Alligator mississippiensis: one gene and its partners. The protein of the gene in region 1 interacts with the protein of each later gene in a biochemical or structural test. Links are inferred from orthologs where the notes say so. Each region holds a gene or a part of one and is shown in the gene's direction. Other genes may lie near its edges. The genes, in order: LRP1, DAB1, LPL and APOE.

Evidence for each region.
Region 2: the proteins of LRP1 (region 1) and DAB1 form a complex in vitro, tested with the Homo sapiens proteins (2 studies listed by BioGRID). The link is inferred for Alligator mississippiensis from reciprocal best matches to the Homo sapiens genes LRP1 and DAB1.
Region 3: the proteins of LRP1 (region 1) and LPL form a complex in vitro, tested with the Homo sapiens proteins (3 studies listed by BioGRID). The link is inferred for Alligator mississippiensis from reciprocal best matches to the Homo sapiens genes LRP1 and LPL.
Region 4: the proteins of LRP1 (region 1) and APOE form a complex in vitro, tested with the Homo sapiens proteins (2 studies listed by IntAct, with this or other methods). The link is inferred for Alligator mississippiensis from reciprocal best matches to the Homo sapiens genes LRP1 and APOE.

What each region holds. Positions count from the first base shown.
Region 1 is NC_081838.1:7,162,165-7,169,084, forward strand, and holds the start of LRP1 (prolow-density lipoprotein receptor-related protein 1), read left to right. Parts: upstream 1-3,913; 5' UTR 3,914-4,013; coding exon 4,014-4,080; intron 4,081-6,920. UniProt on the Homo sapiens protein: Endocytic receptor involved in endocytosis and in phagocytosis of apoptotic cells. Required for early embryonic development. Involved in cellular lipid homeostasis.
Region 2 is NC_081828.1:13,147,458-13,155,367, reverse strand, and holds the start of DAB1 (disabled homolog 1), read left to right. Parts: upstream 1-4,895; 5' UTR 4,896-5,087; intron 5,088-7,910. UniProt on the Homo sapiens protein: Signaling adapter of the reelin-mediated signaling pathway, which regulates the migration and differentiation of postmitotic neurons during brain development.
Region 3 is NC_081826.1:157,509,720-157,516,811, reverse strand, and holds the start of LPL (lipoprotein lipase), read left to right. Parts: upstream 1-4,075; 5' UTR 4,076-4,120; coding exon 4,121-4,184; intron 4,185-7,092. UniProt on the Homo sapiens protein: Key enzyme in triglyceride metabolism.
Region 4 is NC_081838.1:31,168,791-31,176,803, forward strand, and holds APOE (apolipoprotein E), read left to right. Parts: upstream 1-4,999; 5' UTR 5,000-5,096; coding exon 5,097-5,232; intron 5,233-5,778; coding exon 5,779-5,838; intron 5,839-6,513; coding exon 6,514-6,667; intron 6,668-6,961; coding exon 6,962-7,538; 3' UTR 7,539-7,664; downstream 7,665-8,013. UniProt on the Homo sapiens protein: APOE is an apolipoprotein, a protein associating with lipid particles, that mainly functions in lipoprotein-mediated lipid transport between organs via the plasma and interstitial fluids.

The sequences.
Region 1 (6,920 bases):
AGCGTGCAAGCGCAATGGGTAGGGCCGGGCACCGTTCAGGCATGCCTGCCCTGGCCCCCTGCCCATGCTCCCACGTCAGCCAGTTGGGGCCACACTGGGCAAGGACCCAGGAGGCCAGGTGCCCTCCCACAGCTTGGAAGAACCTCGGGCACCCGCCCAGAGCTGGGGAGGACCCGAGCCCAGGGCCGCTGGAGCTGGGGAGAGCCCGGGTGTCCGGGTGCCCCCCCGAGAGAGCCCGGGTGCCCGCCTGGAGCTGGGGGAGAAACCAGGCGTTTGGGAGGACCTCCCGCCCCCAGAGATGGGGGACAAATCAGGAGTCCGGGCGCCCCCCCTGCCCCGAGCTGGAGGACAACCCATGAGTCCTGGTGCCCCCCCCAGCTAACAGGCCCCTGGTGCCAGCTGTGCCCGTGCCCGGCCCAGCCGGGTCCTGGTGGGGGGACACTGCCCTTGGGGTTTGGGGCTGGGCACAAGGGGGGATTCCCCCCCCAGCCCAGCACCCCCCATGGCCCCCCCCCGGGGACCCGCCCACCGGGCCCAGGCCAGGGGGGAAACTGAGGCAGGAGCGCGGCGGCAGCGGGGGCGCAGCCGGGCCGGGGCACCGGGCACCCGAGCTGCGCAGGGGACCCAGGCGTCCCGCCCCCCCAAGCCCCCCCCCGGTACCTGCGCTGCTCCCGGCCGCGGCCGCGGGACCGAGCGAGAAAGCGAAAGTCGAGAGTCAGGAAGAGGGAGGAGGCTGCGGGGCGGGGTGGGGGGGGGCACGGCCAGGCCCGCCCCGCCCCGGGCACGGCTCGCACCCCACCCCGCCCCGCCCCGCCCCCGCGGGCCCCTCACTCTCGCCCCGCACCCCTCTGCCCCCCGCCCCGCAGCCCCCTCGGACACCTGGGTTCCACCCCCGCCCCGCCCCGCGGGATCACCCGTGCCTCAGTTTCCCCAGCCCCCCCGGCTCTCCCGCAGGCGCCTCGGGGCAGGCAGCTCAGCCCCGGGGGCTTCCAGACCCCAGTTGGGGTCCCTGCCCGACCCCCGCCTAGCGACGGCGCTTTGCTACCCCCTGGTGGCGGCGGCGGGAACTGCAGCCCTGGCCGCTTAATCCGGAGCGACTCCGCTTCCCGCCGCGTCTGAACGCAGCGCCCGGGGGAGGAGGCAGGACCCCTCCCCCGGCTCTCGGGGATAGACTAGCCGAGATCAGGGGCCTCAGGAGCGGGCCCCCAGGATCGCTCAGGATTGGGCCACTCAGGATCGGACCCCCAGGACCAGTCAGGATCGGACCCCCCCAGGCCTGTCCTGTGGCTCCGGCCGTGGCGGGGGGGGGCCGACCCTCCGTGTGGACGTGGCAGCCCCGATCCGGAGGGGGTTCCCCGGGGATAACGACCCCCTACCGCTGCCACGTGGAGCTGGGGGGGGGGGGGGTCAGCCTCCCCACTCCCTCATCCCTGCGACGCCGCCCGCTGCCACCAGGGGGTACCCGTGCACCGCCGGCCCCCCGCGCCCGGGGCACGTGTGTGTTGCACGAGTGGCGGGGCGCACAAGGGGAGGGATGTCTATTTACGAGGGGCAAAGGTGTTGCACCGGGCTGGGGGTGGGGTCCTGTGGCACCAGGGGCTGTCTATCGTACCAGGAGGGATATGGGCCTGTGGCAGGCAGTGTCTGTTGCACACCCGCTGTGTGCTTGGTGCATGGGGGGGGGGTGCCTGTTGCACAAGGGAGTGTGTGCCTGTCGCATGAGGGAGTGCCTGTTACACAAGGTGGTGTTGGTTGCCCAACGGAGTGTGTACCTATCACACAAGGGGGGTGCCTGTTGCAGGGGGGCTGTTGCACAAAGAGGGGGTATGCCTGTCACACGAAGTGGGTGTCTGACTTTGCGGGTGTCTGACTTTGTGGGGGCCCCACGACCAAGTCCCTCCACTCTCGCGGTCTCCACTCCCCCTGGGACCCTCAGGCTTGAGCTTTTGGGGTGTTGGGGGGCGGTCCGGGGGGACTTGTGCAGTCCCTGGCACAGCAGGACACCCCCTAGTCACATGGTCTCTGAGTGAGGGGCAGGGGCTGAGACCCCCTCTGAGAACTGGGGGGTGGGCACCCTTCACCAGGAACGCCCCGTGGGCCCAGTGCAGGGGGGGGCCTGATCCTGTGCCGCCTCCTCCCGCCAGGGGGGGACACAACAGTCGCTCCTTTTGCTCCCAGGCTCCCCTCTCCACTCTGTTCTCCAGGTTGGGACTGCCCCAGTTCCCAGAGTCAAGGGAACTGGGAACCAGTCCCAGCTGGAAGCTGGGCTCAGCTGGGGCTCGGGGGTGGGGAATGTGGGGGGGTGACAAGCATGTGACCTGCTGGGGGGGGCAGAGAGGACCCAGCTGTGATTCCAGCCCTGACATCCCCCTGCTGCCGCGCCCTCACAATCCCACATTCCCTGGCCTGGAGGTCGGAGCTGTGATTTTCCACCCCAGCCCCAGACTGAACTGCGAGTTGGGACACCTGGGTCCAACGCTCCCCTCTGCCCTTGCCCTGTGGCATCCCTGTGCCTCAGTTTCCCCAGCCCTGCCCCTCTGCCTCCCAGGCCTTGGGGCAGGGAGCGCAGGCCTGGGGGCTTCCAGACTCTCTTCCCACCCCCACCCCCTGCCCTGTCTCCTGCCCTGAGCATGGGGGAGTGTCGCATGAGGACGGTTGTGGTCCTGTTGCACAAGAAGGTACGCACACCTGTTGCACAAGGGCTGTGTGTGCCTGTTGCATGGGGTGTCTGTCACACAAGGAGGGATGTGGGCTTGTTGAACAAGATGTGCACACCTGTTGAACAAGGGCTGTGTGTGCCTGTTGCACAAGGGAGTGTCTGTCGCACAAGGAGGGATATGGGCCAGCCGCAGGAGGGGGGTGTACTGTCGCACGAGGAGTTGTCTGTTGCACAAGGGCTGTGCGCTTCTTGCTCCCTGGGGTGCTGCCTGCCTGCCTGGGCCTGGCTTTGCCAGGAGCCTGGAGGTTTGCAAAACGCCCTGTCACGGGGCTGTGGCTCCCATCCAGGACCGTGGCCCCTCCTGCCCAGCCAGCCGCAGCAGGGGGGCTGCCCTGCCCCAGAGCCCCCCAGGGCTGATGCATCCAGCCCCCAGCTGCATGGTGGGTCCCATGCTCTGCTGGGAGGGTGAGCCCTTGCCACCTGGCCTGACATGCAGCTGCCGCTGGGGAAGGAAGGCTGGGTCCTGGGGAACTGGGGGGTGGGGGGAAGGTGCCGTCATTAATCTCCAGGAGAAACAGAGCAGCCCTAAGGGCTGCTGGGCCCCTCCGTGCAGGGGGGATCCTCTGCCTGTCCCCAGACTCCTGGGTTCCCTGTACTGCTGCAGCCCCCTCCCGTCCTGGCCAGACCTGGGTGCAAGTGCCCCCCCCCCAGAGGTTGGCTGGGTTTTACTGGGGGGTGTGGGGTGGTCCATCCTGGCTGCAAAGTGCAAGCACTATCACACTGTATGGGGTCAGGTAGCTCCCCTTGCACTATCACACTGGGGAGGTTAGGCAGACCCTCCCCTTGCGCTATCATGCTGGCAGGGTGGTTGGACAGCCCACTCCTTTAAACTATCACCCTGGGGGGGTCAGGCATGCCCCCTTCACTATCGCTCTGAGGGGGGGTCAGGCACCCCCTCTTGCACTATCACACGGGGGGGTTGGGCAGCCCCCCCTTACACTATCACACTGGGGGGGGTGTCAGGCGCTCCCTCTTTGCACTATCACACTGGGGAGGGGTCAGGCCGCCCCCTTGCACCATCCCAGTGGGCCGGGCCCAACCCCCCAGTCGCAGAGCTCCCCTGGCCCCTTCGCACACCCCATCCCCTCCCTCGCCGCGCATGCGTGGTCCGCCCGCCCCCCCAGCCCATGACGTCAGGCAAAGGCGGTGCGAGCCCCCCCGCCCCGCGCGGAGCCGCCCCCCCGCTCGCCTCGCGCCGCCCCCCGCTCGCAGTGCACCGGGCGTCCGCGCGGAGCGGGTGGGGGGGTCCGGCCCGTGCATGAGCCCGCAGTGAGGAGCAGCCCCCGGCCCGGCCATGCCCGCCCGCGGCCCCGCGCTGCTGCTGCTGGGGCTGGCGGCCGGCCTGTGCCTGGCGCTGGACGGTGAGTGCCCCGCGCGGGGCTGCGGCTTTGTCGTGTCTGCGACCCCCGGGGCCGGGGGCGTTTGCAAGGCCCCCCCCCCCGGGGAGCGACCCTCCGTGGGGCCGGCTGATGTGAGCCCCCCCAGGCTGGGGGGCTTGGGCACGGGGGTGTTGGCAATGCCCCCCCTTGGGAGGGACCCCCCGTGGGGCGTGAAGCGGGAACATTGCACCCCCCAGGCTGGGGGGGCTTCAGGACGGGGGTGTCTGCAAGGTCCCCCCACCCCAGGAGGGACCCTCCGTGGGGCAGGGATGTTGGACCCGCCCAGGCTGGGGGGCTTGGGGGTAGGGGTGTGGGCAAGGCCTCCCCCGAAGCAGGAGTGTTGGACCCTACGTGGGTGCCCCATCTTCGCACCCCTGGGTGCCCAGGGATAGCGGGGGGCCAGGGAGACAGAGGCCCTGGGCTTGAGGGGGCTTTGCCATGACAGGCACTCCAGTGGAGCAGGAGGAGCTGGATTTATCCCCCCCACCCCAACTCCGGCTGGTGGGGGCCAGGGGTGGCAGGTGATGGGGCCCCCCAGGCCTTTGGGAAGGAATCTGCCCCCCCCCCATCAAATCCCCCCTCCCGGCGCTGCATTGCGCCGCTGTGCGTGACATGGCATCTCCCCGCGGCTGAGAGGGGGAACGGCCAGGCGGGTCCTGGGGGCCCCGGCCCTACAGCAGGGGGATGTCCCTTCGGTCGCGGGGGCTGCATTGAGCCCCCCCTGCACCCCCTGGTCTGGCTGCAGGGGCAGGGGGAGAAGGGAGCATGGCTAAGCCCCATGGGCTGCAGCTTGGGTCCTCCTTTCCAGGCGTCCGCTGCCCCCCTGCATCACGTCAGGGCTGGGGCGACACCAGCCTGCCCAGCTGGGCCCCAGCATGGGGGTGGGTAGGAGACAGGACATCACCTCTGCTTTCAGGCGATGAATTTTGGGCATCTTTCAGCCTCCCCCCCTCCCCCCCAACTTGTTCCCTGCGGGGCCGCAATCGGGGCTGTACACATCTCCGCTGGGTGGCACGGGGGAGGCTCCGTCGCTTTGCGCTCTCTTGAGACCGGGAGCAATCACGGAGCAATCAGGGAGCAATGTGGCACCATGGGCTGGGGTGGGGGGCAGTGAGGGTCATCCGGGGTCATGCAGGGAGTGGGGGGCGTGGGGGGTGAGACCCAGAGCCCAGCAGAGGCTGCTTCTTGCCAGGGTAGAGTGGGACCAGCGGTCGGCTTCCCGGGCAGCATGGGAACATGGGCTGCAGGCTCGGAGGGTGCCACAGATGGGGGCTCAGCTGCAGCCGGGCCCAAAGCTTCGTCTCGAGCAGGCGGGGGCCACTCTCCGGATGCCCACAGGGTGTCCAAGGCCTTCTCCTGGCTTTGCAGCATTGGGGAAACTGAGGCACAGGGCTGAAAGGTGCTTTGGTGTGACCCTGGGTTCCCTGGCTGGCACTGCCTCTGCTGGGTGCGATCGGGGCCAGGGACCAGACAGGAGGGGGGGCACGGTTATGGGTGGGGGGTGAGGACCGTCCAGCAGGGACAGGATTGGGACTTTGCTGCCGCCCCCCCCCCCCCCCCCTTCGGTGCTGTGATGGATGCAAGCCAGGGCAGGGGGAGCTGGGGGAGGGCACTGTCCTTGGCCGGTCCAAAGCCTAGCAAGCTTAATGAGTAATGGGGCTGGCAGCCCCTCAGCATGGGGCATATTGGGCAGCCCCCAGCCGACAGGGGCAGGGCTGACCCTGTGGGGAAACTGAGGCATGGAGCAGGCTCTGCAGACGGACCAAGAAGTCCTGCCCCACCCCCTCAGCCCTGCTCCAGGGACCTTCCTCCCTTATCAGTTGTTTGATTAGCAGGGTCTGGGGTGAGCTCCTGGGGTGGGGGTCTGCATGCAGAGGAGGCAGGAGGCAAAGTCCAGGGGCAGGAGGGGGCAGCTGCCCCCTCCCTGTGGCACAAAGGACACGGGCAGCCAGCCTCCCCCCCACACGGTGCCAGGGGGCTGGTGCAGGGGCTAGTGACGTGTCCCTGGGCATGGGTGGGGGCAAATCAGGCCCTTGTGGTCCCCAAACCTGGGAGCTGAGGGGGGCCAAGATGAGGGGGCTACGTCTGCCTGGCTCTGCCCCTATTGCTGCACCCTGGGTCAGTGACCTGGTCCTTTCTTCATCTTCCCTTTGCTCTGGTTTCACTTCTCCTTCTGGCCTCCCGGCCCCCAGCCTGGCTCTTTCTCCTGCCCCCAGGAAGCCACAGGATTTTGCCCCCAACTCGGCTCGTGCTCTTGGCATTTCAGGAAGGATCTTGGGACCTTCCTCGGTTTCCCCAGGCAGCTGGAGCCTCTTTTTTAGGATGGCTAACAAAGCCAGGACCATGCCTGTGTGGGGCACCCAGCATCCCAGCCCCCCCCTCGCCCCTGCACCCTGAGACCGTGGGATGGTGGGGGGTCCCTTTCTGGTTGTCTGGGGCCGCGGTGTTCCCGATCTCACCATGTCCATCGAAGGGGTCAACCTCTCCCAGCCTGGCAGAGGTTTGGGGGGGCAGAAGCCCCCCCTACACCCCTCGCAGGCCCCTGGGAGGTAGATCCATGCCCCCCAGAAGCAGCCAGGGCCTGTGCCTGGTGAGCCACGAGCAAGGTGCGGGCGTGCGGAGCCCAATTTAGCGCCTGGCAGTGACTCACGTCCTTGGCAGGGAGATTTGGGGGGGGGGTTGTACAGATCTTTGCTCCTGGGGAGGCTTTAGGGCCTGGTCCCTGTTTCTGTCCCCTCCCCGGGGGGCCTCATCCTGGTGGGCCCGTGGCGGGGGGGCATGTTTGACCCACGCGACTTCTTGCCTATCACAGTGCCCCGGGG
Region 2 (7,910 bases), on another chromosome or scaffold:
CAGATCCAGGGTCTGCATTTCATAACTTGAATCCAGAATTAAGATATTGGGGTATAAGACCAGATGTTATTGATTAATCCTTAATTATTGATTAATATTTGACTAAACATTGCTAAGCAGTGAGAGCATCATTTATAACCAGTATTTTATGGAGGAAAAGCTCTCAAAATTTGCTGCTGATCTTGAATCAGACAAGATTTATATCAACAAATAGGGAAACACTCACTTTCCCCTTAAAGATTTCATGTTATTTGTATCAGCAAAAAAAAAAAAAAATATTTTTATCAGATTTCAAGAGATTTTTTTTTTATTAGTCTTACGGAAAAAAATGGATTTCACATCTGTCTGTAGTAGATATATGTATTTATCATCTAGTTAGAAGTGATCAAAGTGTTTTCTGTTTAACTTGGTAAGTGCAAAGGTTTGAAAGAGGCCTGAGTTATGGTGAAATGATATAATCTTTTTAACATCAGTAAACAGCAGTTGTTAAAATGATCATTTCTTTTCAATATTTCACCCACGAGTTGAGAAATTCAATCTCATCCTTGTTGTTACCAGTATTAGCTCAGGGGAATAGAAAGTCACATCTGGAGGCAGAAAATCCATGGCATTGACCCGGAGAGGTCAAATTGTGATACTGGATGGGGTGGGGGTTGGGGAATGAGGTTAAAGGCCATCTTTGAATCCTGATAGATTAAATGAACCTCATAGAGGGTCCCCTTAAATGTAATGAGGGACTTCTAACTCTGCAAACTACAGAGTCTCTTTAAGCATTCAGCTGGAGCTTTCTCGTTCTTCTAGGCTAGAAGACATAGGCTTCTCTGATTAGCATGCAAATGCAACAGTGGTGTAAAAAGTTCCAGATGAATTTACGACTAAGCCTTGCTGCAGGGGAAAACATGTTTGACAACATGTGTTAGAAATGGAGAAATGAATGAAATTGGGTATCAGTCTGAAACCAGCAGGATCAGAAGGTGTAAGAGAGGTGTGCAGATACAGGATGAGGCAAAGAGACTCCTGGAAACAAAATCAGCATGTGAGGAGGAGAACTGCAAATGTAAAGTGCCAAAGTATTTTTTCCCCCCTTCTTTTTTCCTTTAAAGAAATTGAAGTTTGTGGTATAATAAATTCAACTCACTGCTTAGCACTAAAGAGGCCGATGAGTAAGAATACCAGAGTTTTTATGGTATTTCCTGAGATATTTCTTTAAACTAAACATTGCCACAGTATATTTCCTGGAAGTAATATTTACTTTACATTTTTTTGTTCTAATCTCTTGAGTAGCTCAGGATGTGAGGTATGTGTACAGTGGGCTTTGCGTATATCAATAAAAACTCATAATGTTTCTCCAAGACTGGTATTTTTTCCATTCCTGGTAGGGAAACCAAGACAGAAATATTTAGGTGATGATTTTCAAAAATCACTTTTGTTTTTAAGTGCCTTCAGTTTTCACGTGTCCAACCTGCGGTGACTTTACTTTCGTTTGGTCTGCAAAAGGAGTTGGTGCTGGTTGGCACCCTTGGAAGTTGAGGCCAAGATGGATGAGGTTAGATACCCAGAAATTTGAAAGGCTACTTTTTTAAGCTTAAGCCTAAGTGATTTGAACTCGGTCATCTGCAGGCAGTCTGCTATCCTATCAGTAAGCCTCTCCTGAAACAGGTATCCTCTAGCCCAGTGTGGCAGAGCACAGGGTGTCTCTGCCACTTTAAGGGCCTGGAGCTGGCAGCCTCCAGGTGCCTGATTAGGGCAGACATTTTGAGGCTTAGGCTGCTTATATAAACCAGGCAGTTTGGCTGCAGGAGGGCAGGTAGCAACATTGCCTGGTTGTAGGGCTGCTGTGAATGACCTGGAGGTAAGGGGGGAGCTGCAAGGGGTTGGCAGGAGGCTCCTGGTCCTGGTCCTGGTCCTGGTCCTGGTCCTGGTCCTGGTCCTGGTCCTGGTCCTGGTCCTGGTCCTGGGCATGACCTGAAACTGCACCCTGCCAGGAGTGGATGGCCTGGTGGTGCTCTCAGTGGCGCGGGAGCCTCCAGGAAATACCAGGCCAGTTACCACCCCGGTGAAAGGCGGGTTGGGGTGCCTTAACCCCTAGCTCCCACCACCACCGGGTGGGTAACCCTGATAGTGTTTGTGAGGGGCCCAGAAAGGGTGGACCCTGAGAGTGCATTGTGTACAGGGCGTGGTGCTGCGGTTGCTCCTAGGAGGAAGGGAGTAGTGGCACGGTGAGGCCCGAGGATGAGAGAGAGGGGCTAGAGACCCAGCCCGAAGGGGATAGTACCCTCGACTGGCCCATGCTGGGGCCAGGACCAGTGAGGGTCAAAAGGGCCGGGGGCCCACCGTGAGGGACGCCCAAGAGCCGGGGGCCTGGGGTCCCGACTGGCCTTGAGGTGGGCCAGGGCTGGTAGCCAAAGGTTCTGGGGGAACCACACCCGAGAGGGGAAGATAGCTTCGGGGGGGCTAGGTAGCCTGGATGATGGTGGAGTGGCTGCCTGATTGGAAGGATCATAGAGGGGTCCTGTTAGGACGATTCTGGGGCCCAGTATGGGGCCGGTGATGAGGAACACCGTGATGCCATCTGCGAGGCTTGGGCTGCAGTATTGGGGGAGGTCGGAGCCGCAGAGCGCCCCCCGGCATCGGGGCGTTACGATAGGTAGCCTCCCGCTTAATTGACATCGATATATGAATCAATTATTATCAAAGGCGTGGCAGGCGAGATAAGCGGGCGGTTGCCCAGAGACAGGTGGGCAGGCCACGAAGAGCTCAGCCCTGAGTAGGCCTGCTGTCACGGTGACAGGTGGGTGGGCCACAAAGTTTGGCCCCAGGTGGCGCAGCCTGTCACACCCAGGTCCTAAAGACCACCCATGTGCAACTGCAGGGGAGACCATGGTTCACGAATAACTTAAGAACTCTACTGAAAATCTCAGAGACAACTGGATCCAGTATCTGGTTTATAGTTTAATGCCACTTTTGGAAGGAAAAGGTCTACAAACTTAATTTAAATTATATCCTTGATGCTTCAGCGTTGCCTCCCAAACTCTACCTCTTAATATACAAGTCACAAAGCCCCACTCCAGTTATAAATTCTGCAAGGCAGCCACCAGGGGGCAACCCGTTCATACACACATGAGCAGGAACAGCATTCTTGCATGGGCCACGGGACACGCATGCTTCAACCTTGCATTATGTTCATGAGCTACTTGCGATAAAAATTCAGCCTACTGTCAGCCATGTCAAGTAACTACTAGATGGGTTTCATCAAACAGCAACTTGGATTACTTAGACAAGTCCTGAGATGCAGAGGATTAAGGCCCACATGTGTTCAAACGTATGTGCCTAACCATGTCTAATCTATTAAATTCTCAGGGCTTGACCTTCAGGCATCCTGGATGTCCTTATTTCCAGTGCTTTCTACATGTGAAATAAAGCTACTCTTATTCCATTTCCTAATTAAGGAACTGGGGGCCTAGACTGAAGCACATTTATTTGAGAATGTGTAGGTTTAGGTTTAATGCTTAAATGGAGCTCCACTATAAGTTTCTTGAGACAGGGACTTCCTTTTTCTGAGTGTCTGCCTAACATATCTCGGCGAATGCTTGTCAAAGCCCATTACTGAAAGCTCCCCTTAGCTTGAGAAGAAAAGGGAAGGGATCCCATCTCTCCAATCTGACCATTCCCTGGTTGGACATGACATCTTCCTGTTGAGTCCTCTCCGCCTCCTCTGAGCTGCTTATCAAGTTCCATTTGGTTGAGTTCATTATTTAAATCAAGGTACCGCGGCATTAACATTTCCATGATGGAATAATTGTTCTAGGCAAATGCCATGGCCTTGTAAGTTATACAAAGACTACTCTCCCTCACTTTTTCACCTCCCTATGTCCACAGCCAGCATTTCATAGACCTTCTGATCTCTGCATCTGTAAACACGCTGCATCAGTCAAGCTGAATGACTTTTGATTCACAAGTTCACTGTTCTGGATGCAGTACATAGATCACATCCTTGTGCTGAATGGACTCAGTTTTTGTCTTAGATGATCCCACTTATCCCATAGATGAACTTTTTTCCTTGCCATAAAATATAAATTATTGATGGCCCCAAGGACCCTGTCACAATGATAGTACATGACCTTTGAATTCAGTTAAGTGGCTAGATGAGTAAATACAATTATTTGAGGTGTAATTAATTAGGGGAGAATTTTTTGTTCCATTAAAAACAGATGGTGTCTTTTAAAATCAGATTCAAAGTGAGCACTTGTTTTGAGCAACGCAGGTCAGCCAGAGAAGGTCCGCTTGCTTTTCAATGAGACAAATTGGAGATACACCTAAGAACACATGGAGACTAGGTGAAAGACAAGGTAAGAGCGAAGCAGAGGCATCAGCTGTCTCCAAGGCAGTCGCCCTGTGGAAAGCAGTAGATCAACACAGCAGGTAGTGAGCAGCCTGTTTCAGAGCTTGGAAGTGACTGGTGTGTAGGCAGGCATGAAAAAAAAAATCTCCGGCATTACTTTTGTTGTCAGTCTGCCTGTCAAACTGCCTTTTGGATAGGGACAGCAGGTTGGTAAATAAACCAGCGTTCACTTCTGCATGTGTGAACACTTCTTTGGGAGTTTTATTCTTAATGCAAGCACTGAGCTTTAAGTACACAGAGTTATGGAGTATATGCAGAAGTGTAGCTGGCTGCCTCTGGGCAAAAAATAAAAGAAATAGTTAATGATTTACACAGCTAGCATGCCGTCTCCCTCCCATATTGACTAAAAGCATTGCTAGCTAACCATGACACAGCTATTTTGTTCACTTAATTTTCTAATTAGCACAAGCCCACCCATTAGCACATATTGGGTTCCTTTCACTGCTCAAACCTAGCTCCCCCCAGCTTGGGGAGGGGCAGTTGGAATTCAGCAGCTGGGTTGCTTGAAACAAGGTGGAGTGTAACAGGTGGTGTCAGAGAGCTAGTTAAATGCTGAGTGTGCTTTTTCTCTTCACTCTCAAGTTGAGAGAGAAAGCAACCAAAATGAGTACAAAATCTTTTTACTTTTACTAGTCATTAGAGGTACTGAAAGTCTATCCTTAGTGTTCCTTCTGACCAGGATGAGGTGAGTTAAGGCAGCAACAAAGTAAGAAATGTTCATGTCTATATAGTTTGTGATGGGAATGCGTTTGAGTTAATGGAGGAAAGAGGTTTTGCTAACATTGCATGGTCAGATGCTTAGCTGGTTTGCGTGGCATTGCTTTTAAACTGCGAGAGTGCTGAGAATCACTTCCTCATTAGGTTGTGCACAACTACAGAATTACAGTGTCCGAGGGAAGGTTAGGGCAAAACCCACAGGTTTTAGTATTATTGCATTACTTTGTCTATATAGCAGATATTTTCTCTGATATGTTATGAAACTGTTGGCAGAGCATTAATGTTTCCAAATACTAGCTTGGCTTAAGTGGAGAATAAGCTATTATTATTTTAGGTTCTTGGAGCTCCTGTGCTTTTAATTTGGTAGACAGCAAATGCATCCTTGCAAATGTTTTGCCTCTCAAGCTGAGCTGCAAAGCAAAGGAAAATTGCCACTCCTTTTTTGCATTTCTTGTTTATGATGGATAAGTGGCAACTTGGAGGCTTTATTTAAAAAAAATGGGTTTATTTTTTTTTTCTGCTTGTGTTGGAACCATACAAATAAGTTTCTCTAGTCTTTTGCTGGATGGCTGTATTAGCAGGGTTATGATACTCTGAAGTCCGAGTAGGGAAGAGGTGAGGGACACACTTTAGTCTGCTGTTCAGAAGTTGCTCTTACTTAACCTGTTTATCTACCTCTGAATTACTATGGCATCCTTTACTATAGTTCCTGAATACATCATTACCTCCCTTTTTCCTGTGAGGAGTTTCAGTTAGGAGGGTATTATAGAGCTATATTTCAGAAGTGCCCGAGCATTTTGATCTCCAGGTGTAGATGTTTAACACCTCAAAATAGCCGGCCCTATGCAGTTTGTTCAAGGTCGCACAGTAAGGTTGTGGCTTAGTCACCACTTTAAGCCTGCTGTGTCACCTGAGTCCCAGTCCAGCACCTTCAAACACCACTTCCCCGGGGAAGTCATTGGCATATAAAATTTTCTTTTGAAAAGACTTAGCTTCTTGCTAGGATGTTTTTACTCCAGTTCTGTAGCGGATCCACCAGTAAAGTCAGGAAAAAAAAGATGCCTGCACAGTTTGAGTATAAAACCACGGATGAAGCACCTGTTCTCTCCTACGTCTGGAAAAATGCTAAGAGCCTGTCTCCCTGCGATGTTTCTCTCTTGCATAGGATACTGAGTGAAATATTTTCCCCCACTTCTGCATTTCAGCCACGGCAGCTGTTCTGCCAGCGGATTTTGCCGCTATTGTTTTAAGAGATGCGAACACCATTTAAAAAAAAAACAAACCCACCAGGTTAAAATGGACCATAAATATATTTTAGAGTTTGTATGCAGAGAATGGGCTACCCACTGTACATGGGCTCAGCTGGGAGCCTTTGTCACAGGTACTGGTTTTATATGTGGTTACTCAGCATGGTATGGAATTTGAATTCTTCTCTTAACACAGCAGTGGACAATCTCTCTCGCTCTCATTTTTACTTCAGGCTGTTTTTCACAGGCGGAATGGCACTGCTGGAAACTAATCAACGTAATGTTTTACACTTCACAGAGGTCTATTAGTAATCATTGCTACAATTTCTAGCACCAAATAGGGACAATGTATTCCTAAACCCCATCCTACCTTGGATTGCATTTTTTAGCCATAGGAAAACATAATTATCTCGGCTTCTCTGTGCAATGTCCATTTTGTTGTTTGTTTGTTCTTTCCCGGATGCTGTTGCTGGCAGTCAGATGTGAAAATGCCGTGATGAGTATTAAAAAGTACCAGTGGCAGTAGTAAAATGCAAGTTGCTAACTCCAATATGGCTCCTGTTATCTTAGCATCTGAGCTCTGCAGAGTCTTTTCACAGTACCCTGGCATGGCAAGAAAGTACAAATATCCTGGGTTTTTTTGTTGTTTTTTTTTATGCAAGGCACCGAGACATTTTAGGCTTTGTTTTCACCGCTACAAATAATTTTTACTCCAGAATAACTGATGCGTGCTAACTAGTTTGCTGTAAAATCCTAGTGGAGAAAAGGCACTGTAATTGCACTGTGAGGTCAGTCATGGCAGGGGGTATAATATAGAGCTTGCCTAGCTACCTACTGGGAAAACTTGTTTCTATAGAAATTTGTAGGAGAATAACTATTGTGCATTAGCGGTCTTGCAGAAGCAGTGAAAATACAGCCTAAGTGATTTTCCGGACTTCCTATAGGAAGTGGAAGTAAGAATTTAAATCTAGTTGCCCTAAATCCAAAATTAGTGTCCTACTAATCATTGGCCTATCCTTTCCATGCTCTAAAGAATGGGTCTATTTTATAGTCCTTACACTTACTTGAGGCTTATGGTAAGCTACATCCCTGCTTGGACAAAATATCAAGGGTTAAGTGTGTGTTTGTGAGAGAGAGTAAGCACATTTGGGGTGGGAGATGAAATTCTGGTTGACCAGAAGAAGACAGCAGGTGATGCCCTCCATCCAGGGTCTGACAATGCTAAGATGTGCCGATTTCCCCCAGACTCGCCCCATAGCTTTCGCTTGGCTGCTTGTCCTGCACGTCATGGGTGCGTACAGACATTCAGAGAGATGAGCCAAGGCTGAAGTTGGTTCCTTTTTCAAAGCTAATCTTTAAACAATAAACGGTTATTAGCAATGAATTAGATGTGCTAAAGAGTTGCAAGTTCATCAAAAATATATTTAGTCATAAAAAAAAAATGTAAAATAATATCATGTATTAATGCATAGCCCTGAATGAGGAGCTGGGATTATGGGACAAAACCCTTTTTTCAAGTCATCCCAAACCACAGATCTCTGCCA
Region 3 (7,092 bases), on another chromosome or scaffold:
TCATTTTTTTAAACTTCCCACTTCAAGTCTCCAGCTCTGTTAGGAACACTGTCATACAAGTAGTATTTTTGGATCTGGGTTTCCCAGTGGGTGTAGCAATGTCATTTAGGGGTATTTCTACAGCAGTTCCCTTGAAGTAAGGGCAAAATGCAGCCATTTGGGAATTTTGGCATATCTATTAATTTATTTTGTGTTATCCTTTTCCATGGCTTTTTGGTATAGTTACCAGCCTCATTTTGCAACTCCTGTCTCCAGTCCCTCTGGACTTTTTTTAAACTCGTTAGATAGAACACATTCTAGCTTTTACTTTATTACCTTCAACCCACTTCTGAATTTCCTGAGACTATAAATCAGTCTTTGTTTTATAGATTTAGTTATGTTTTCTCTCATAAAGTTGTTTACTTTACAGAGTTTCCAAAATTCAAATCCAGCTAATGGTTGGAATGAGCGTATATAGGTCAATGCATGAAGATTCCTTGCAGTCTGATGACAATTATATGCAGCTGAAAGGAAATCTTTGAAATACTGGGAAATATATAGTGCCAGAACAGTCCAACTACAAGCCATATAGAGTTAGGATAAATATTTTTCTTCTTTAGGTCCCACTTACTGCAGATTTCCTTATAATTTGGTTGAAAACAATTAATACTAGTAGTTCATTTGTTCCAGACAATATCTTCCCCCCTTAAATTGCAAACACAAAAGGGGATTTTGTATAGCATTGTATGGCATACTCCTAAAAGACAGTATGAATATAACTGAGGGGGAGAAATGGACTCAAAAGAGCAATTTCTGTGTAACAAACTTGATTTTCCTCTATACGGCACAGCACACAAAGCGAAGATGTTAAGCACTGGCTCTACTCAGTGAATTGCTTCTGGTCAGCAAAGCACTTGATAATGATCCAAAAAGAAGTGGCCCATTATTTGTTACTACATTTTCCTTCTCAGTCATTAAAAGGCAACTAAAATTAATGCCTTCCAAATGTTACTTTTTAGCACAAGAAGTTCATAAGGATGCAACTCTGGATGGGAGCAGCGTTATCTAGAGTTAAGGTTGTTTGACAATCTCCATTACAACCATCTGCTTTAAATTGTTTGTACCTGTTAGCAAGCATTAACTAGTTGAGCTGACATTTCCAGGTAAGATGTCTGTCTCTTAATGAACTCAGTGTGATTTTTTTGATGGGCAGTGGAAGCACATTTCATGTAAAATGATTAACAGATTGCGACTAGAGGAAAATATGTTGCTTAATACATGTTTAAAAAGGCTTGTGCCTCTTTCGTTGAGAAACTCTGATAATCTGTTTTGCAGCAGAAGCTTGAAATTTGGTACGCTGGCAACCCTGGTACCGAGATGTGCATCTTGCTGTTGAAGAAAGGCTTCTCACATTTGACTAAGTTATACAAGCCTTTTCAAAATCTTGATTAGGAGTCTGGAGGCTAAATTCTCAGAAGATCCCATCTGCACTGAACATGTTCCAGCCCAATGGTGCTGCAGCTGAGCAGGACTGTATAGTGTTGAGGGCAGAGAGCTTGTCTCTCTTGTGCTCTTTCAGTCAACCCCTACCGTACCAAGGAAGCATGCAGGATATAGAGCCGGGGTAGGCAACCCCCAGCACGGGTGCCAGAGTGTGGCACTCGAAGGCATTTTGCTTGGCACACGTGCCTCAGGGTGGATGGCATAGAAGGGGCCGGGGCTACATGGTAACAGCAAGGATTGGGCCCCTCATAGCTCTCCTGTCATCCATCCCTGGCACACCAACATCTTACAAGTTGAAGTTGTGGGTGTTTTCGGCACTCTGCCCAAAAATGTTGCTGACCTCTGATATAGAGAATACCTTCCCTAAAGTACAGAGGAGGGGCAACAAAGAGACGTAGAGCAGGGGGAGCTACGTATAGGAGAAGAGAATAGCTTGACGGCAATATAGGTGGGACAAGAGCTGGAACAGGAGTGTAGATTGAGACAGACAACCTTAAATGACAAACTGTTCCTAGGGGCTAATGAGAAGGGGGACTGATCCAGCTGGGGAGAGCTGGTGGAGACATGGGAAGATCAGCCAGGCTTGATGAAAAGGAACAAAAGGAGCTGTGCCTGCCATGAACCCGCTTCCTTCCAAAACCTGGAATAGGTTCTCAGGTCTCTACACTTAGGAAAAGATCTGTGAAACCCACTGGTAAAGCATGTTTCTCACCCCCCTCTAGTGGCTGGTCCACTGAAAGAATGCTATCAGGTGCTCCAGTAACTCCCGTGGCATAGGTCTGGGCAGTCCATCTACATGTCCCAACCCTGCCCATGGCATGTGGGCATCTAGATGGTGCTGCACAATATAATTTCTGGGCTTTCCCCCCACTTTTTTTTGTAAAAACCTCAATAAACAAATCAGACAAATTATAGTGCACAGGCATGACACTGTTTTTAGTTATGTGACCCAGTGGTGTTTTTCGCTGCAAGATCCCTGATTCATTCAGTGAAAAGGATGGGCAGTGGTCTGGATAGCCCAGGGCTGTGCAGTGAAGGAGGCTGTTGTCTGCCCTCATTTCTGACAGAAGTGGGAAGGTATATACTGAATGAGGTAGGGGACCACAGAGAGAGAAAGAGAGAGAGAAGTTGGTTTCATGGCTAAGAGCAGAACTCTGCCTTGGGTTCTGCCTGCCTGTGCCCATGATGCTAGGGAAGTCAGTGCAACCGAAGGTTTCACAGGTAGTTGCTAATTGCCTGTCCCTCATTTTTGGGGTGCTTGGCTTGAGACCCTAGTCTGATTTGCAGTTGTGTGGAGCTCTCATATGTGCACCTGAAACCAGTGTGAACCGGTGCCTTACACACACAAAGTGCTACTTCACACGAAGTGCTCTGAAAAATCAAGCCCTAGACTTCTAAAAACCAGCCCTGAAAATTATGATACCTTTTCTTTCACCTGAATCTCTCTGTGCCTTACATCCTCCACTGTAAAATGAAGACACTACCTGTTGGCTTAGGGCTGTTGGGATGGCCAGTCCTTCTGTCTACTGGCCAAGCTGTCAGGATGAGGAGAGACCATGAGGAAACGGGGTGTGAATTGAATTTCCTGCAGCATGGATGGCCGGGGAGACCTACCGAATGACCAAGAGCAAATTAGGCACTGGACAAGCCTTGTCCATCCTGGGGGCTGAATAAGATGGGACCTGCATGGGGGACAATACATGCCAGGGTCACTAAGAGCTGCATGGCACTCCTTGTGCTGAACGAGCAGCATCCGGGCCACCAGACTGTCCCAGAAGGTGGGCAGCTTTACAGATGACCCACATCTCAGTGTGCTCGTACCTGTAAGGCGAGCTGCAAGGATGTTCTGTTTTTTTCATGAACGCTGCATGCCCCCAGAGGCTGGGGGGGGCATGGTGAGCTCCCGCAGGCGGTGGCAGCAAGCGACGAGCTCCTGTAGGCGGCAGTGGCACTGTCGACGGTGGGAGGGTGGGGTGGTGGTGAGCTCCGACCGATGGTTGGCGACCACTCACAGATGCCGCTGGCAGTGCTGGTGGCCCCCAGCGGCGATTGGGGACCACCTGCAGACGCTGCTGGCGGTGTTGGCAGTGAGGACAGGGAGTGGGGTGGCGAGCAGCAACCAGCTTCAAGCATCGCCAGCTGAGTTGGAGGCGCCTTTTTGCAGGGGGTGCACTGCCACACTCAGGGGGTGCACGTGCCGCCAGTGGGTTTTCTGCTACTCAGTCCTCTGTTGATACGGAGCCGGGCGCCTGTCTGTCCTCAAGAGAAAAACAGACGTCGCCCGGAACGGGGTCAGGGCCCGACCAACTTTTAGCACGTTCATTCAGCTAGCTGCGCAGTGAAAAGAAACTGCGATCCAGTTTTAACCGGAATGACAACTGCGCATCTGGGAGTTACAGAAATGAAGGTGCTCAAAGCTGGTCCCGGCCGTGCCCGGGCCGCCCCCTACTCCCGCCGCTGAGGGGCCGGGCCGGGGGCAGGTCCCGCAGCCGGCGCGGCCCCGCCTGCACGTGGTGGCCCCCGCCCCGCCCCGCCCCGCCCCCGCCCCAGCCAATAGGTGCGGAGGCATATTTGCATATCTGCCCTCACTTAAGGGGCCGCCGGGGCAACGCGGACTAGTGCCGCCGCGGGCGCTGCTATGGCGTGGGGCGCGCTGCTGGTCGTGCTGTGCCTCTGTCTCCGCGCCCTCGCTGCCGGCCCGGGTAAGGGGAGCGGGCGCGGGGCGGGGAAGCTGGTAGCAGGGGCTGAGCTGAGCTGCGGGGGCCCGGCCGGTGTTCGGGGCTGCACGTGCGCACCACAGGCACCAGGTGGAGCAGAGCGGGCGGGAGTCCTCTCCGCGGCTCGTCCGGGCCCGGGGGCAGCCCGGCTGTCGCTCCCTCGGGAGCAGGCTGGGCCGGGCACACGCGGGTGTCTCCCGCCGCGCGCAGCGCTGTGTAGAGGAGCGTGCCGGCCTCCGCGTGGCCCCGGCGCCACCTCGCACGTGGCAGCGGGGTGCAGGTGTTCAGCACCTCGCAGGGGGCCCACGCGGCGAGGCGCCCTTGGGAAAGGCGAGCGCGGGTCCGGACGCAGGAGTCGCCAGTTGCGGTGTTGCGGCCTGATGCCACCGGAGCAGTTAAAACGGGCCTGGCCCGGGCACTGCAACGTGCAGGTTCGGCCTCTGGCTTCCCAGTCCTTGGGTTCCGGATGTATTCGGCTGCGTGAAGGCGGTCGCTGCGACACAAGTATGCTGTTAGGGCAGGTTGCAACTGCTTTTTTTTCCTTTGGATGTACACTCGACTTTTTTCCAGCTGCGCTTCTCCTCTCTAAAGCCGATGAAATGTAGACTAGAGAGACAGCTGCGTGTACAGAATAGCTATCACTAATTCTCACTTTACTAATCCACAAACTTTAAAAAGTCTTTAGCAAGCTGAGTAGTCGCAGCCCAGTGCCCATCAAAGATCTAGTAACGGAGCAGTGTTGGCTGCACGATAGAGCCTCTGCTGGCAACACAATGTTAAAAGAGGCCCGTGGTGTAGACACAGCATCTGTTGACAAGACTCTGCTGGCACAGTGACACCACGCTCCCAAATGGTATATAAGCTAGGACTATGTTTATGCTGTGCAGGCTGCTGCTACTTGAATAGCTGGGGCCTCTGGTGTGAACACAGCTTTCCAGCAGAAGGGGGTTCATTACTGCCAGAGCTACCCTAGCTCTCCCTGCTGACGGCTTCATCCACTCAGGGTTTTGCAAGCTGGGCTGTGCTGGCTGTGAGGCCTGATGTTTTCACACTGGGCAGAACTGTTATGTGGACAGGAGCTAAGCTGACAAAAAGCTACTCCTTTCATCAAAGGGTGTCTGCACCCAAGAGGCTTTGCAGGTGCATTTACATAAGCTAACAGGGTGTGATTTTTCTTTTTCTCACTAGCTGACAACCTCACCTGTAAAACTTGATCATGTACACTAAGCCCAAGTCTCAGACTTACACCCTGCAAATGTTGTAAAAGAAATGACTGTGTTCGTACACTTCAGAAAGTCCAGGCCCGTTGAGAATAGTTTGGACACTTGTATCCTAACCGCTAAGTGAAACTTTCTCTTCTTCTAATAGGATGATCCTATTAGAGGCACTGTAAATAACAACAGAGCTGCAGGGCAATATTAAAACTTAAGAGGAAGGAGTGGTGGTAAGGCACACTCGAAGGAAGGTAGTGTCACTTTGAATCTAATCTTTTTCTAGTAAAGGTACTTGTAGAGTGCCTTTTAATCAATATCAGAGCAGTGTTAAAGGAAGTAGTTAGCTTTCCTCTTGGAGGAAGTTTGTGGGTATTTTTCATTCCTGTTGGCATGTCTTTCCTTTGGAGGCTTCCCAATTAATGCATTGGCTCTTCTCTAAGAAGAGGTACTAGGGGATACGAGACCATCCTCTGTCCATTCTACACTGCAGGCCTCAGATGCTAGTTCTTACCTGCACTAAACTACTGGGGATGAAGTGAATAAATGTTTTCAGAGGCCTGAGAATGCAGGATTTGATCCCCAAGTAAACATGAAACCGCTGAATCCAGAACCCTTCATAATGCATAAAAGAAGTTCAAGGGAAGGAATCGTGCAGAGTTAAAATCTGATCTCAGTTTTATTATTGTAGACCCTAAATAGCATCATATAAATCAGTGGCATTGCACCTGATTTTACATTGTTGTAATTAAGAACAAAATTAGGCCAGCAGCTTTTGGTGGAGCTTAAAAATATGACGTATGGGGTACTATCAACAGAGCTGCTACCATATAGACTCTACAGGGGGAGATGAACCACATTGTGTGATGGGAAGAACCTGCATTAAAGTTTTACTCTGCACTGTAGCTGATTAACTTGGATAACTCCGGACCCTCCGGGCAGAACAGCCAAAAGGATGGGGAAAATGCTCCCAGCATATCATTTTACAAGCATGCCAAATGCATTTGAGTTAAGCATTTATCCCACAGGGAAGCACTGAGATGTAGTGCTAGCTTGTGGGTAGACTTTTATGCCTATGTGTCATCCTCCTGGGCTTTGAGAGCTCTGTACAAGTATAGTATATTGCCCATGAATTAGCCAGTTGCAAGATGTAAGTTGTGGATTTCAGGAAAGGGATACTTCAAGTACGAGAAGAATCTCTTGCGTTGTCCAGTTAAACCGCTTTTGTGAACTGTTACATGGAGTTGTAACTACTGCATGGTTTCAATTGTTTAAACTGTTTATTTAGATAAAATTTAATAGTTGTGGTATATAGCCCCTTAGTTACAGTCAACTGAATTACAGAAGTGGTTTTATTATGGGGCCTGCGTTAACGTAAGCAACTTGGATGGTAATTCAGGGTGACTGATGTGTGATGTCATACCGTATCTTATCAGCTGCAGGGTCAGCTACTTCAACAGAACTTTTACTGTTGTTTGGGTAAATGTTTGACTTCATGTATGCATGTTGGTTTCAGTGGAGCTTTCCCAGTTTACCTGGGCTGAGGATCTAGCTCAGGATTGCTGCATGTATCTAATGATTTGTAAGTCTACCTCTGTGTACAGAATATTGGCAAATTGGGGAATTGTTGTTGGTTTAGGTTTCCCACAGTAATTCAGAGTTCAGGTCTGCTGACTCATGGT
Region 4 (8,013 bases), about 24 Mb from region 1:
GGCCAGGCTGGGCTCATGGGTGTTGGGGGGAAGCGGGGGAGAGGTAAGGGCTGGGGGAAAGGCAGTGATGGGGGTGCAGGGGAGAGGTCAGGGATTCGGGGAAGGCAGTGATGGGGCTGCAGGGGAGAGGTCAGGGTGGGCGTGTGCAGAGGAGAGGTCATTGCTGGGGGGAAGGCATTGATAGGGGTGCAGGGGAGAGGTCAGGGATCGGGGGGAAGGCAGTGATGGAGGTGCAGGGGAGAGGTCGGGGCTTGGGGGAAGGCAGTGATGGGGATGCAGGGGAGAGGTCAGGGATTGGGGGGAAGGCAATGATGGGAGTGCAGGGGAGAGTTTGGGGCTGGGGGGAAGGCAGTAATGGGAGTGCAGGGGAGAGGTTGGGGCTGGGTGGAAGGCAGTGATGGGGTGCAGGGGAGAGGTCGGGGCTGGGGTGAAGGCAGTGATGGGGTGCAGGGGAGAGGTCGGGGCTGGGGTGAAGGCAGTGATGGGGGTGCAGGGGAGAGGTCAGGGATTGGGGGGAAGGCAGAGATGGGGGTGCAGTGGAGAGGTCGGGGGTGGGGGGAAGGCAGTGATGGGGGTGCAGTGGAGAGGTTGGGGCTGGGGGGAAGGCAGTCATGGGGGTGCAGGGGAGAGGTCAGGGATTGGGGAAGGCAGTGATCGGGCTGCAGGGCAGAGGTTGGGGCTGGGGGGAAGGCAGTGATGGGGGTGTAGGGGAGTGGTCAGTGCTGGGGGGAAGGCAGTGATGGGGGTGCAGGGGAGAGTTTGGGGCTGGTGGGAAGGCAGTAATGGGGGTGCAGGGGAGAGGTCGGGGCTGGGGGGAAGGCAGTGATGGGGGTGCAGGGGAGAGGTTAGGAATTGGGGGGAAGGCAGTGATGGGGGTGCAGGGGAGAGGTCGGGGCTGGGGGGAAGGCAGTGATGGGGGTGCAGGGGAGAGGTCAGGGCTGGGGGGAAGGCAGTGATGGGGGTGCAGTGGAGAGGTCAGGGATTGGGGGGAAGGCAGAGATGGGGGTGCAGTGGAGAGGTCGGGGGTGGGGGGAAGGCAGTGCTGGGCGTGCAGGGGAGAGGTCGGTGCTGGGTGGAAGGCAGTGATGGGGGTGCAGGGGAGAGGTCGGGGCTGGGGGGAAGGCAGTAATGGGGGTGCAGGGGAGAGGTTGGGGCTGGGGGGAAGGCAGTGATGGGGGTGCAGTGGAGAGGTCAGGGATTGGGGGGAAGGCAGTGATGGGGGTGCAGGGGAGAGGTCGGGCGTGGGGGGAAGGCAGTGATGGGGGTGCAGTGGAGAGGTTGGGGCTGGGGGGAAGGCAGTGCTGGGCGTGCAGGGGAGAGGTCGGTGCTGGGGGGAAGGCAGTAATGGGGGTGCAGGGGAGAGGTCGGGGCTGGGGGGAAGGCAGTGATGGGGTGCAGGGGAGAGGTCGGGGTTGGGGGGAAGGCATTTATGGGGGTGCAGGGGAGAGGTCGGGGCTGGGGGGAAGGCAGTGATGGGGGTGCAGGGGAGAGGTCGGGGCTGGGGGGAAGGCAGTGATGGGGGTGCAGGGGAGAGGTCAGGGCTGGGGGGAAGGCAGTGATGGGGGTGCAGGGGAGTGGTCAGTGCTGGGGGGAAGGCAGTGATGGGGGTGCAGGGGAGTGGTCAGTGCTGGGGGGAAGGCAGTGATGGGGGTGCAGGGGAGAGTTTGGGGCTGGTGGAAAGGCAGTAATGGGGGTGCAGGGGAGAGGTCGGGGCTGGGGGGAAGGCAGTGATGGGGGTGCAGGGGAGAGGTCAGGGATTGGGGGGAAGGCAGTGATGTGGGTGCAGGGGAGAGGTCAGGGATTGGGGGAAGGCAATGATGGAGGTGCAGGGGAGTGGTCAGTGCTGGGGGGAAGGCAGTGATGGGGGTGTAGGGGAGTGGTCAGTGCTGGGGGGAAGGCAGTGATGGGGGTGCAGGGGAGAGGTCGGGCCTGGGTGGAAGGCAGTGATGGGGGTGCAGGGGAGAGGTTAGGAATTGGGGGGAAGGCAGTGATGGGGGTGCAGGGGAGAGGTCGGGGCTGGGGGGAAGGCAGTGATGTGGGTGCAGGGGAGAGGTCAGGGATTGGGGGAAGGCAATGATGGGGGTGCAGGGGAGAGTTTGGGGCTGGGGGGAAGGCAGTAATGGGGGTGCAGGGGAGAGGTCGGGGCTGTGGGGAAGGCAGTGATAGGGGTGCAGGGGAGAGGTCGGGGCTGGGGGGAAGGCAGTGATGGGGGTGCAGGGGAGAGGTCAGGGCTGGGGTGAAGGCAGTGATGGGGGTGCAGGGGAGTGGTCAGGGCTGGGGGAAGGCAGTGATGGGGGTGCAGGGGAGAGGTCAGGGATTGGGGGGAAGGCAGTGATCGGGCTGCAGGGGAGAGGTCGGGGCTGGGTGGAAGGCAGTCATGGGGGTGCAGGGGAGAGGTCAGGGATTGGGGGAAGGCAGTGATCAGGCTGCAGGGCAGAGGTTGGGGCTGGGGGGAAGGCAGTGATGGGGGTGCAGGGGAGAGGTCGGGGCTGGGGGGAAGGCAGTGATGGGGGTGCAGGGGAGAGGTCGGGGCTGGGGGGAAGGCAGTGATGGGGGTGCAGTGGAGAGGTCGGGGGTGGGGGGAAGGCAGTGCTGGGCGTGCAGGGGAGAGGTCGGTGCTGGGTGGAAGGCAGTGATGGGGTGCAGGGGAGAGGTCAGTGATGGGGGTGCAGGGGAGAGGTCGGGGCTGGGGGGAAGGCAGTGATGGGGGTGCAGGGGAGAGGTCGGGGCTGGGGGGAAGGCAGTAATGGGGGTGCAGGGGAGAGGTTGGGGCTGGGGGGAAGGCTGTGATGGGGGTGCAGTGGAGAGGTCAGGGATTGGGGGGAAGGCAGTGATGTGGGTGCAGGGGAGAGGTCGGGCGTGGGGGGAAGGCAGTGATGGGGGTGCAGGGGAGAGGTCGGTGCTGGGGGGAAGGCAGTAATGGGGGTGCAGGGGAGAGTTTGGGGCTGGTGGGAAGGCAGTAATGGGGGTGCAGGGGAGAGGTCGGGGCTGGGGTTAAGGCAGTGATGGGGATGCAGGGGAGAGGTCAGGGATTGGGGGAAGGCAATGATGGGGGTGCAGGGGAGAGTTTGGGGCTGGGGGGAAGGCAGTAATGGGGGTGCAGGGGAGAGGTCGGGGCTGGGGGTAAGGCAGTGATAGGGGTGCAGGGGAGTGGTCGGGGCTGGGGTGAAGGCAGTGATGGGGGTGCAGGGGAGTGGTCAGGGCTGGGGTGAAGGCAGTGATGGGGGTGCAGGGGAGAGGTCAGGGTTGGGGTGAAGGCAGTGATGGGGTGCAGGGGAGAGGTCGGGGATGGGGGGAAGGCAGTGATGGGGGTGCAGGGGAGAGGTCAGGGCTGGGGTGAAGGCAGTGATGGGGGTGTAGGGGAGTGGTCAGTGCTGGGGGGAAGGCAGTGATGGGGGTGCAGGGGAGAGTTTGGGGCTGGTGGGAAGGCAGTAATGGGGGTGCAGGGGAGAGGTCGGGGCTGGGGGGAAGGCAGTGATGGGGGTGCAGGGGAGAGGTCAGGGATTGGGGGGAAGGCAGTGATGTGGGTGCATGGGAGAGGTCGGGGCTGGGGGGAAGGCAGTGATGGGGTGCAGGGGAGAGGTCGGGGCTGGGGGGAAGGCAGTGATAGGGGTGCAGGGGAGAGGTCGGGGCTGGGGTGAAGGCAGTGATGGGGGTGCAGGGGAGTGGTCAGGGCTGGGGGGAAGGCAGTGATGGGGGTGCAGGGGAGAGGTCAGGGATTGGGTGGAAGGCAGTGATGGGGGTGCAGGGGAGAGGTCACGGATTGGGGTGAAGGCAGTGATGGGGGTGCAGGGGAGAGGTCAGGGATTGGGGGAAGGCAATGATGGGGGTGCAGGGGAGAGGTTGGGGCTAGGGGGGAAGGCAGTGATGGGGGTGCAGGGGAGAGGTCAGGGATTGGGGGAAGGCAATGATGGGGGTGCAGGGGAGAGGTTGGGGCTGGGGGGAAGGCAGTAATGGGGGTGCAGGGGAGAGGTCAGGGATTGGGGGGAAGGCAGTGTTGTGGGTGCAGGGGAGAGGTCGGGGCTGGGTGGAAGGCAGTGATGGTGTAGGGGAGAGGTTGGGGCTGGGGGAAGGTAGCAATGGGGGTGCAGGGGAGAGGTCGGGGCTGGGGGGAAGGCAGTGATGGGGGTGAAGGGGAGAGGTCGGGGATTGGGGGGAAGGCAGTAATGGGTGTAAAGGAGAGAGGTCGGGGCTGGGTGGAAGGCAGTGATGGTGGTGCAGGGGAGAGGTCGGGGCTGGGGGAAAGGCAGTGATGGGGGTGCAGGGGAGAGGTCAGGGATTGGGGTAAGGCAGTGATGGGGATGCATGGGAGAGGTCAGGGCGGGGGTGTGCAGAGGAGAGGTCATTGCTTGGGGGAAGGCAGTGATGGGGGTGCATTGGAGAGGTCAGGGCGCGGGGTGTGCAGGGGAGAGGTCGGGGCTGGGGGTAAGGCAGTGATGGGGGTGCAGGGGGAGAGGTTGGGGCTGGGGGGGGAAGGCAGTGTTGGGGGTGCATGGGAGAGGTCAGGGCGCGGGTGTGCAGGGGGAGAGTTCGGGGCTGGGGGGGGAAGGCAGTGATGGGGGTGCAGGGGAGAGGTTGGGGCTGGGGAGGGAAGGCAGTGTTGGGGGTGCATGGGAGAGGTCAGGGCGCGGGTGTGCAGGGGAGAGTTCGGGGCTGGGGGGGAAGGCTGTGATGGGGGTGCAGGGGAGAGGTCAGGGATTGGGGGGAAGGCAGTGATGGGGGTGCAGGGGAGAGGGTCAGGGATTGGGGGGAAGGCAGTGATGGGGGTGCAGGGGAGAGGTCGGGGCTGGGGGGAAGGCAGTGATGGGTGTGCAGGGGAGAGGTCAGGGCGGGGGATGGGGATGCAGGGACAAGTCGGGTCATCTCCTGTGCGGGGCGAGAGGAGGAAGCTCGCGATTGCATCAGAGTCACAAGGAGCCCCCCCCACCCCCAGCACGCGGCCGTCCCCCTGCAGCCCCCGGGTCGGGCGGGGCGCGGGGGGCTCAGACTTTCCCTGCGAAGGGAAGTTGCCCCGGGCCGGCTCGGGGGGAGGGGGGTCACCTTTGCCCTGCAGCCGCCTCGGAGGTGGTGCCTCCCCCGGCGCCGCTCCGTACTTAATGCGCCGCCGGGACCTCTTGGCTCAGACTCGCAGGACTGCCCGTGGTCTCCGAGGAGCCTGCGAAGGAGGTGCGCCGCGCCGGGGCCGACCGGGGCAGGGCGTGTTGGAGCCGGGACACGGGGTGCTGGATGTGGGTGCGGGAGCCGAGGAGCGGGTGCTGGAGCCGGGTGCAGCCATGGAGGGAGTCCTGGAGCTGGGACACGGGGTGCTGGAGCCGCGTGCAGCCGGGGAGTGGGTGCTGGAGCCGGGACACGGGGTGCTGGAGCCGGGTGGAGCCGGGACACGGGGTGCTGGAGCCGGGTGGAGCCAGGACACGGGGTGCTGGAGCCAGGTGCAGCCGGGGGGGGTGGTGCTGGAGCTGGGACACGGGGTGCTGGAGCTGGGACACGGGGTGCTGGAGCCGGGACACGGGGTGCTGGAGCCGGGTGGAGCCAGGACACAGGGTGCTGGAGCCAGGTGCAGCTGGGGAGGGGGGTGCTGGGGCCGGGACACGGGGTGCTGGAGCCGGGTGCAGCCAGGGAGGGAGTGCTGGAGCTGGGACACGGGGTGCTGGAGCCGGGGTGGGGGTGCTGGAGCTGGGACATGGGGTGCTGGAGCCGGGGAGGAGGCACTGGAGATGGGACAGGGGTGCAGCAAGGGCCCTGCTCTGCCTCACCCCGCGCCCCGGCCTCTCCCCGCAGGTGGAGCCGCAGCCATGAGGGTCTGGACCGTGTTGCTCGGAGCCGTGCTGCTGCTGGCGGGTAAGAGCCCAGCCCGGCCCCCCCGCCTGTGTGAACGCTTCACGCGCCCGGTCCGGAGCGACTCCGCGGGGCAAAGTCGGAGCGAGGCGGGGGCCCGTAGTTGTAGGGGCACAGGGACTCTTCCCTTCTCGCATGCGGGGAAGGAAGCAGCAGCTCTGCACAAGGAGCCGAGAGCCCTGGGGTCCTGTCCCGGCACAAGGAGCCGGGACTCGGTCCCGCTGGAAACGACCTTCAGCCCTTGCCCTCATCAGCAAGGAATGGGGCGATCCGCCCGCTTCTCCCCCCAGGCTGTAAACCCTGGCGCCAGGCTGTGTGAGCCGCGCCCGCCCGGGGAGATGAGGAGATAAGGGTGCAGCATCGCCCTCCACCCCCTGCAGCCAAGGGGCAGCCTGGACCCTGGCCCATGATGCCCTGGCTCCGCGCAGCCCCATGCATCAGCCTCTCCTGTGTCTGTGCTGCCCTGGTGTGGGGGGCCAGGGCTCAGCCCGCTGCTCCGTGGGTCAGCCTGGGTGGGACAATGGGGAGCACCAGGTCCAGCCCATTGCAGCTGGGAGCCCTGATCCTGGTTGGGAGGGGTCTGCATCCAGTAGGACACGGGGAGCTGGGATCCTGTCTGGGGGTGGCACACTGGGGCCTTCACCCCATGATCTCCATGTGTGCATGTATCCCACACAGCCTGCCAGGCCGACGTCCAGGACGTGGAGACCAAGGTCAAGGCCAAGTGGGAAGAGACCGTGGAAGTGTTTCGGGAGTACGTGAACCGGCTGAGCCTAGCTACCGATGACATCACGGAGCAGATCACCAGCTCCCAGATGGGCAAGGAAATGGAGTGAGTGCCACCCACCCTGTTGCTGTCTCAGGGGGCTCCTGGGAATGGGGGTAGGTGGGGGCAGCCCCCCGCTACCCCTGTGGGCTCAGTGCAGCGGGGCACAGACCAGCCTTCCCAGGCAAGACTGTGGAAAAGGGGTCCTTGGAGGGCTTTTACCCCCCCAGCTCTGCTCCCTGCTGGGGTCCTGAGGCCTGTGACACCCCCCCCCCCCCCCAGCCCTGCTCAGTGCTGAGGCCTGGCTGTTGGGGTGCTGGGGGCTGTGCCCTGGCCTTGCTGACCGCTGCCTCCCTACAGCATGCTGATCAAGGACGTGGTGGCGGAGCTGCACGCGTACAGAAAGGACGTGGAAGAACGGCTGGGCCCGCAAGCGGTGGTGATGCGGGAGCGGCTGCATACAGATGTGACGGTGCTGGGCGAGCGGCTGCGTGTTGACATGGAGGAAGCCAAGACCCGGGTGCAGCAGTACCTGGGTGAGGCTCGCCAAGTGGCGGGCCAGAACCTGGAAGATGTGCGCAGCCGCGTGGGCACCTACTTGCGCAAGCTGCGCAAGCGTCTGGCCAAGGACACAGAGGAGCTGCGCCGCAAGCTGGAGGCCTACAGTAAGGAAGCCACCCAACACCTGGAGACCGTGCGCGAGGACCTGGAGCCGCTGCGCGAGAAGGGGCAGCAGCGCCTGGAGACCCTGCAGCAGGCACTGCGTGACCAGGGCCAGCGCTTGCGTGAGCAGCTGGAGGTGCGCGCCCAGGAGATGCGTGGCTCCCTGGACCGCGCAGCCACGCAGCTGCAAGAGTGGCTCGAACCCTTCCTTGAGGACATCCGCACCCAGATGCAGGGGCTGCTGGACAAGCTGCAGGCTAAGGAGCAGCAGTAGGCGCTTCCCCAGCCCCGCAGGGCCTGCTGCCCCCACTGGCCTCTGCACTTGCTAGGGACCCCTCCCCAGCCCCGTGCCCCCCTCAGTCTCCACTGTCACGCTCTCAATAAAGGCCTGCTTCAGGCACTTGCGTCCTGCTCCTTCTCTGCTTCCCACTGGGTCCCATGGGGAACTGATGGGGTTGGGGCTCCCTAGTGGGGGGTGAATCAGGATCTGCCCCTGTGGTTACACGGGGCGGCGGGGCGGGAGGGGGTAGTGAATCCGGAGCAGACTCCAGCATTCACATGGGCTCCCAGGGGTGGTGGTGGTGGTGGGGGGTTAATCAGGATTGGTCCTAGTAGGCACATGGGGCTCGTGGGGGCAGTAGTGAATCCAGAGCAGACCTCAGCGTTCACTTAGGTTCTCCAGTGGGTGAATCAGGATCAGCCCCTGAATTCACATGGGTCTGTGGAAGAGAGTAGTGAATCTGGAGCAG